2 linked regions of the Xenopus tropicalis genome follow. The protein of the gene in region 1 purifies or fractionates together with the protein of each later gene. This does not show direct contact. Links are inferred from orthologs where the notes say so. Each region holds a gene or a part of one and is shown in the gene's direction. Other genes may lie near its edges.

Region 1 (4,238 bases):
CTGCTGCCAGGATCCTCCTGCTCTCTCCTAAGAGGGATCCTGCCCAGCCTCAATTAAGCTCACTAGCATGGCTGCCTGTCAAGCAAAGGATAGCTTACAAAATCCTTCTGCTGACATTCAAAGCCCTTCACTCCTCTGCTCCTCACTACATTTCTTCACTGGTCTCCCTACATGTTCCTGGTCGTCTCCTCCGCTCCTCTCAGAGCCTCCGTCTCTTTACACCATCCACACCCACTGCGCTCTCTCGTCTTAAACCTTTCTATCTCGCTGCTCCTTACCTCTGGAACTCTATCCCTGAATCCCTCCGTAGGGAAAACTTACCCACTCTCTTTAAGAAAAAACTCAGCTGTTACCTTCTGGAGCACTAAAACATTATTTTGCCCAGTCCTGCGCTTAAGGGCAAATGCCCACACCTGGTGCACTCTTACCTTCCAGTTTGTGCCTGTATGTTACCCAACCACTTAGATTGTAAGCTCTACGGGGCAGGGACCTCCTTCCTACTGTGTCTCATACCACATGGCACTTATATATATATATATATACATATATGTATTTATTTATTATATCACTTGTCCTCCCTGTGTGTAATTTTGTATTCTGTAAGACTGTACAGCGCTGCGTACCCTTGTGGCGCTTTATAAATAAAGTTATACATACATACATAAAAATGGTTCTGTTTTCCTAAATTCAATATATTGCAAACCTGCTTCTTTTTAGGTAAAAAGCTGTAAATGCAATACATATCCTTTAATAGAGGAAAAAAGAAAAAAATATAAACTGGTATTTTTTCCCATAAAAGGTGGCAACCCTAATACAACCCCGTATGAAAAGGGGCTTTAGGAGTTATATAATGTAAGCAAAGAGCTGACTAGATCGTATAAATTGCACTTGTTAGTAAATATGCCACACAATCCTTTGCGCTAGTGCCCCTATTTATGTGTGCGCAACTGCCCTAATAGGATTGTTTTTCTAATTAGAAGGCTTGTCACATGATTTTAGGGTGGCAAGCGATTTAGAAACAGCTTTAACCATAAGTATCGGTCATGTGCCCATCGTTTGACGTCTCTGGCCAATAGGTTAACGTTTCTCACAAACAGAACAAGTAGGAAAGCTGCCGCAATGTCTCCTATTGGCTGTCCTACAGATCACGCCTCTGGGCACAAGGGCGCTCCTATTTCCGTATACGCTCTAGTCAAGTGACGCGAAGGCGGAGTTGTTTTCGCCATGTTTTCTCAGGCGATCCAGTAGGGGAGCTCGCTAGAGAGAAGGGTCCCAGGTAAACAGCGCGGGTGATGCCGGCGGGGATGAAATGACATCAGTTTTGATGCGCTGGCTATAACTTTTCTCATGAAGGAAATATTCGTGTTACATGTTTGTTTAGCTCGGTGTTACGCTAAAATACACTGGACATCGTTCAGTACTTCGGTGCAGTTTGGATCTGTATTTAGGAGTCGTGTTTGCTAAATATGCTTGTCTGATTTATACATTGATATGGAATTGTAAACCAAGCTCTCCATTATACAGGCGTTAATGCTTACAAATATTTCTGTGCTCACAAAGCCATAGCAAGTCCATAGCAAATATTTCTTTTAGTTTCTTTTCCTAGACAGGTATGAGCTTTATTTGGTTATCATTTGCAGATTGTTCATCACATTTACATCCATTCCCCAGTGGGATTTAGAATATGAGATGTCCTGCCTATCACATGCACGCAACCGGCTTGCTTCACTTTCATAGGGGGCTCTGTAACCTGGCTGTATATTTTGTTATCATTTATAATGTGGAAAGACTAAGCGATTTGCTGGATATGATGGAAAAGTGATTGCTGGACCAGCAGTTGAAAAGATAAAGCTAATGTTGGCTGGTTTCCTAGGGGTTAATATTTTGTCACTAGGACAGAAGTGCAGGATGTGACAGCACAGGCCTCAGATCTAGGGTGGCAATCAATCGATTGGTCTTATTAAGGAATCTCTATCAGCTAATGATTTAACATTTATATTTGTTTTAGAAATCTGAAAATGATCTGTTGTACTTTGAGACTGCTGAATGTAAAATGCCCAGAAATCAGGTAAGGTGTGATCGTCTTCTAGGACTACATGCCTGAAAACTCATCTAAATTTTTTTATACCCAAATATGCCTTCTCTTTGTTAGTTTTCCTTTAACCTGTTATATATAAAATATGTTCTAAATGAAAAGTTTAACTAGCATCAAATTTACATACCAATTAGTGACCCATCAAATAATCATATCAAATTGTCATATATATATATATCATCAGTAAATATATAACATTTTTTTTCTTAACCTTGAGACACTATTTTTGGATATTTTGTGTGCTTATTTACTGTGGCAGTGTTTCAGTATAGGATTATTCAGTGTCATTTGTTTCTATTTTTCATGATAGTAAGCTAAGATAATAGGGAGCATCTAATTTATAGTATATACAAAATATTAGAAATAAAATACACGTCTTTGGTTAAGAGCACTAGATGGGCTAGATTCTAGTATATTGATATATGTATATATTTTAAAACATCATGGTAAAAATGTATGTAATCTCAGCAAGTTTATGGAAGACATTTTGAATTTTAACTCTTTGGGAGGAGTCTCATACTAAAAAAGATAATGTTGTTTATTTCTAGATATATTTTGCAGGGTCAGCACTAGAGTGTCCTACCAAGCAATTATCAAGAGAGATTTTCAACAATAAATTTATTGTAGTAATCTTAAACTGTAATAGGTGTATTTTTCAAATATATTTTGGTGCCTAATGATCTCTGAACTGGTCAAATGGATCAATAACGACTTGGGTTTCATTTGTAATGTTGTTAAGATGATTTTATACCCATACCAATGTGGTTCATTGAATGTTGAAAATTCACTTTCCCCAAAGTTGCATTGTTCATACTGGTTTGGAGCCCAAAGCAGTTATAAGCTTTATGGCTGTGGGGATTTTTGTACTCATTTATTTGTAGGTGTGGATAGAATTGTCATTACTAAAATATAATGTCTCTGGAATTATCTGGAACTTTATGTACTGGATAATCACAAATGTGCCGGTAAAGTAAGTAAATTGTGCTAATTCATTTTATTCTCAATGTTCTCTCATTTAGTAGGACAGAGATGCTTTTGTTTAACTCTGGTACAGACAGTCCCCACTGTAACGTGTAGCACTTGTTACACTATGTTTCTGCAGAACTTAAATTTAACCAATAGGTGTCTGAAATTACTGGTGTTTAATTTCATTTCTTAATTGGTGATTTGCTGTATAATAAGGTAGCCGTTCTTGGAGTTTTGTTTTTGGAATAGGCACTAGGGGAAGGATTTGCAGATTGAGTAATTTTACCAGGCAGATCACATGCACCTGTCAGATGCACACTGCAGTACCGTATATACTCGAGTATAAGCCGATCCGAATATAAGCCGAGGTACCTAATTTTACCTAAGAAAACTGGAAAAACTTATTGACTCGAGTATAAGCCCCTCAATGGTGCAGCATGAAAAGCATCCATATACCGGTAAACAAAATCTTTAATCCAATAACTAAATATGGCATTTCTGTATTCTTTAAATACAGTAAATTGCTGTTCTGGATGTCACTTCAATGAATACAAAATTATTCTATATAAATTTGATAAAACAACTACTGTGCCACTAGCCATAGAGCTTAGCAAGTTATGTAAACCTCTCATAATATAGAGACCAGTACATCTCTCTTTTTTATTTTTTCATTCATGACTGTACATAAGCTGAGAAGAACTGCATGTGGGTACTTTTGATTTAATTAGGTGAGCAGTGATTATGTAAAGAGCTTCAGAGGGGCCTCTTGATATTAATATGAGTGTATTAAGCAAGGCTAGGGCCCACGGCTAGCACAAGGATATCGTAACCAACTTATACTAAGCATTTCAACAGTGTGGAGTAATGAAAAAAATTGCTCCAGTGGTAGCATTCTATGCCCATAAATCCGCAGGTAGCGGCATATTTAACCTGATCACTTGCTCAGTAGGTATCAGTTACCAGTCTAAGTAAGGCTCTGGTTAGAGGGAGGTGCCACGGTGCTGCTCTTTGTGTCACTTACTGTCATGTTGGCACTCAACACTAACTATATAGTGGGGCTCTGTGCTCTGCTAGGCTGTTCTGCTGCCGTTGTCCTGGCGTCCACAGGGGTCCAGGGAGGGGGGGGCTCGGGGGGGCTCCTCAATGTGTCCCTATGTGCTGCGCGCTGCACATAATG
Region 2 (4,198 bases), on another chromosome or scaffold:
GACAACAGGCAGGACTCTCAGTGAGAGCAGGGTAATTGGGAAGATAGCAGACAGGACACCCAATGAGAAGGGGTAATTGGGCAGATAGCAGACAGGACACCCAATGAGAAGGGGTAATTGGATAGATAACAGACAGGACTCCCAATGAGAGAGGGGTAATTGGATAGACAACAGGCAGAACTCTCAGTGAGAGCAGGGTAATTGGGCAGATAGCAGACAGGACACCCAATGAGAAGGGGTAATTGGGCAGATAGCAGACAGGACACCCAATGAGAAGGGGTAATTGGGTAGATAACAGGCAGGACACCCAATGAAAGAGGGGTAATTGGGCAGATAACAGGCAGGACACCCAATGAGAGAGGGGCAATTGGGTAGATAACAGGCAGGACTCCCAAAGAGAAGGGGTAATTGGGTAGATAACAGGCAGGACTCCCAATGAGAGAGGGGTAATTGGGCAGATAACAGGCAGGACTCCCAATGAGAGAGGGGTAATTGGGCAGATAACAGGCAGGACTCCCAATGAAAGGGGGGTAATTGGGCAGATAACAGACAGGACTCCCAATGAGAGAGGGGTAATTGGGCAGATAACAGACAGGACACCCAATGAGAGAGGGGTAATTGGGCAGATAACAGGCAGGACTCCCAATGAGAGAGGGGTAATTGGGCAGATAACAGGCAGGACACCCAATGAGAGAGGGGTAATTGGGCAGATAACAGGCAGGACTCCCAATGAGAGAGGGGTAATTGAGCAGATAACAGGCAGGACACCCAATGAGAGAGGGGTAATTGGGCAGATAACAGGCAGGACTCCCAATGAAAGGGGGGTAATTGGGCAGATAACAGGCAGGACTCCCAATGAGAGAGGGGTAATTGGGCAGATAACAGGCAGGACTCCCAATGAGAGGGGGGTAATTGGGCAGATAACAGACAGGACTCCCAATGAGAGAGGGGTAATTGGGCAGATAACAGACAGGACACCCAATGAGAGAGGGGTAATTGGGCAGATAACAGGCAGGACTCCCAATGAGAGAGGGGTAATTGGGCAGATAACAGGCAGGACACCCAATGAGAGAGGGGTAATTGGGCAGATAACAGGCAGGACACCCAATGAGAGAGGGGCTATTACACAGATAACAGCCAGTGCCCCACCCTCCCATCTTTAGCCCCCCCAGTATCCCTTGCTGGGAAGATGCAGACGCGGAAGGATCTATTTTCACAGCCGCATAACTAAGGTCACACGCCCTCTTCCTTATTGTCCCTCTGTGGTGTCTGTGGGCCCCGCATGGGGGGCTGTTAGGGACTAAGTGAGACGGTGCCCGGCAGTGCAGCTCGGTACTAGCGATACTGGCTGTTGGGGGCCGTAGGGTGGGGCAGGGGGTGGGGTTAGAGGAAGGAACTATTTGCTGGCGCGGAAGGAGACAGGGCGGTGAAGCTGTTCCTCCATCTTTGGTCCAGCTCAGCTTCCAGCTCCGCACTCTCCCCTCACGGCGCGATGGATGAGGAGTACGATGTGATCGTGTTGGGTACCGGCCTGACGGTGAGTGGCCATGGGGGCCTGGCTGGGTACTGGGGGGTCCTACTCGCTCTTTTATTCTGGGGCCCCAGGAAAGGCTTCAGGGGGCAGTTACACGGGCTGGAGTGGGTAGTGCCTGGGGCAATTACTGTTATAGGCCTAGTAATGCCCTATGGGTATGGGGGCAGGGCCCCTCACTGTCAGCTGGGGGCATTGATGGGATGTATGGGGGCACTGACATGTACTGGGGGGAAATAACATGAATACAGGGCCGTGCCACTCTCTGGTACAGGCTGGGGGCACTGACACGTACTGGGGGGAAATAACATGAATACAGGGCCGTGCCACTCTCTGGTACAGGCTGGGGGCACTGACATGTACTGGGGGGAAATAACATGAATACAGGGCCGTGCCACTCTCTGGTACAGGCTGGGGGCACTGACACGTACTGGGGGAAATAACAGGAATACAGGGCCGTGCCACTCTCTGGTACAGGCTGGGGGCACCGACATGTACTGGGGGGAAATAACAGGAATACAGGGCCGTGCCACTCTCTGGTACAGGCTGGGGGCACTGACATGTACTGGGGGGGAAATAACATGAATACAGGGCCGTGCCACTCTCTGGTACAGGCTGGGGGCACCGACATGTACTGGGGGGAAATAACAGGAATACAGGGCCGTGCCACTCGCTGGTACAGGCTGGGGGCACTGACATGTACTGGGGGAAATAACATGAATACAGGGCTGTGCCCACTCTCTGGTACAGGCTGGGGGCACTGACATGTACTGGGGGGAAATAACATGAATACAGGGCCGTGCCACTCTCTGGTACAGGCTGGGGGCACCGACATGTACTGGGGGGAAATAACATGAATACAGGGCCGTGCCACTCTCTGGTACAGGCTGGGGGCACCGACATGTACTGGGGGGAAATAACAGGAATACAGGGCCGTGCCACTCTCTGGTACAGGCTGGGGGCACCGACATGTACTGGGGGGAAATAACATGAATACAGGGCCGTGCCACTCGCTGGTACAGGCTGGGGGCACTGACATGTACTGGGGGGAAATAACATGAATACAGGGCCGTGCCACTCTCTGGTACAGGCTGGGGGCACCGACATGTACTGGGGGGAAATAACATGAATACAGGGCCGTGCCACTCGCTGGTACAGGCTGGGGGCACTGACATGTACTGGGGGGAAATAACAGGAATACAGGGCCGTGCCACTCTCTGGTACAGGCTGGGGGCACTGACATGTACTGGGGGAAATAACATGAATACAGGGCCGTGCCACTCTCTGGTACAGGCTGGGGGCACTGACATGTACTGGGGGGAAATAACATGAATACAGGGCCGTGCCACTCTCTGGTACAGGCTGGGGGCACTGACATGTACTGGGGGGAAATAACAGGAATACAGGGCCGTGCCACTCTCTGGTACAGGCTGGGGGCACTGACATGTACTGGGGGGAAATAACAGGAATACAGGGCCGTGCCACTCTCTGGTACAGGCTGGGGGCACTGACATGTACTGGGGAGAAATAACAGGAATACAGGGCCGTGCCACTCTCTGGTACAGGCTGGGGGAACTGACATGTACTGGGGGGAAATAACATGAATACAGGGCCGTGCCACTCGCTGGTACAGGCTGGGGGCACTGACATGTACTGGGGAGAAATAACAGGAATACAGGGCCGTGCCACTCTCTGGTACAGGCTGGGGGCACCGACATGTACTGGGGGGAAATAACATGAATACAGGGCCGTGCCACTCGCTGGTACAGGCTGGGGGCACTGACATGTACTGGGGGGAAATAACATGAATACAGGGCCGTGCCACTCGCTGGTACAGGCTGGGGGCACTGACATGTACTGGGGGAAATAACAGGAATACAGGGCCGTGCCACTCTCTGGTACAGGCTGGGGGCACTGACATGTACTGGGGGGAAATAACAGGAATACAGGGCCGTGCCACTCTCTGGTACAGGCTGGGGGCACTGACATGTACTGGGGAGAAATAACAGGAATACAGGGCCGTGCCACTCGCTGGTACAGGCTGGGGGCACTGACATGTACTGGGGGGAAATAACATGAATACAGGGCCGTGCCACTCGCTGGTACAGGCTGGGGGCACCGACATGTACTGGGGGAAATAACATGAATACAGGGCCGTGCCACTCTCTGGTACAGGCTGGGGGCACCGACATGTACTGGGGGGAAATAACATGAATACAGGGCCGTGCCACTCTCTGGTACAGGCTGGGGGCACTGACATGTACTGGGGGGAAATAACAGGAATACAGGGCCGTGCCACTCGCTGGTACAGGCTGGGGGCACTGACATGTACTGGGGGGAAATAACAGGAATACAGGGCCGTGCCACTCTCTGGTACAGGCTGGGGGCACTGACATGTACTGGGGGGAAATAACAGGAATACAGGGCCGTGCCACTCTCTGGTACAGGCTGGGGGCACTGACATGTACTGGGGGGAAATAACAGGAATACAGGGCCGTGCCACTCTCTGGTACAGGCTGGGGGCACTGACATGTACTGGGGGGAAATAACAGGAATACAGGGCCGTGCCACTCTCTGGTACAGGCTGGGGGCACTGACATGTACTGGGGGAAATAACAGGAATACAGGGCCGTGCCACACTCTGGTACAGGCTGGGGGCACTGACAT

Evidence for each region. The genes of interacting proteins can lie anywhere in the genome.
Region 2: the proteins of rab9a (region 1) and gdi1 purify together in Homo sapiens (affinity purification with mass spectrometry; 3 studies listed by BioGRID and IntAct, counting the BioPlex papers as one, with this or other methods). This does not show direct contact. The link is inferred for Xenopus tropicalis from reciprocal best matches to the Homo sapiens genes RAB9A and GDI1.

The regions. Positions count from the first base shown.
Region 1 is NC_030678.2:105,780,672-105,784,909, reverse strand, and holds the start of rab9a (ras-related protein Rab-9A), read left to right. Parts: upstream 1-1,438; 5' UTR 1,439-2,068; intron 2,069-4,238. UniProt on the Homo sapiens protein: The small GTPases Rab are key regulators of intracellular membrane trafficking, from the formation of transport vesicles to their fusion with membranes.
Region 2 is NC_030684.2:142,199-146,396, forward strand, and holds the start of gdi1 (rab GDP dissociation inhibitor alpha), read left to right. Parts: upstream 1-1,398; 5' UTR 1,399-1,492; coding exon 1,493-1,537; intron 1,538-4,198. UniProt on the Homo sapiens protein: Regulates the GDP/GTP exchange reaction of most Rab proteins by inhibiting the dissociation of GDP from them, and the subsequent binding of GTP to them. Promotes the dissociation of GDP-bound Rab proteins from the membrane and inhibits their activation.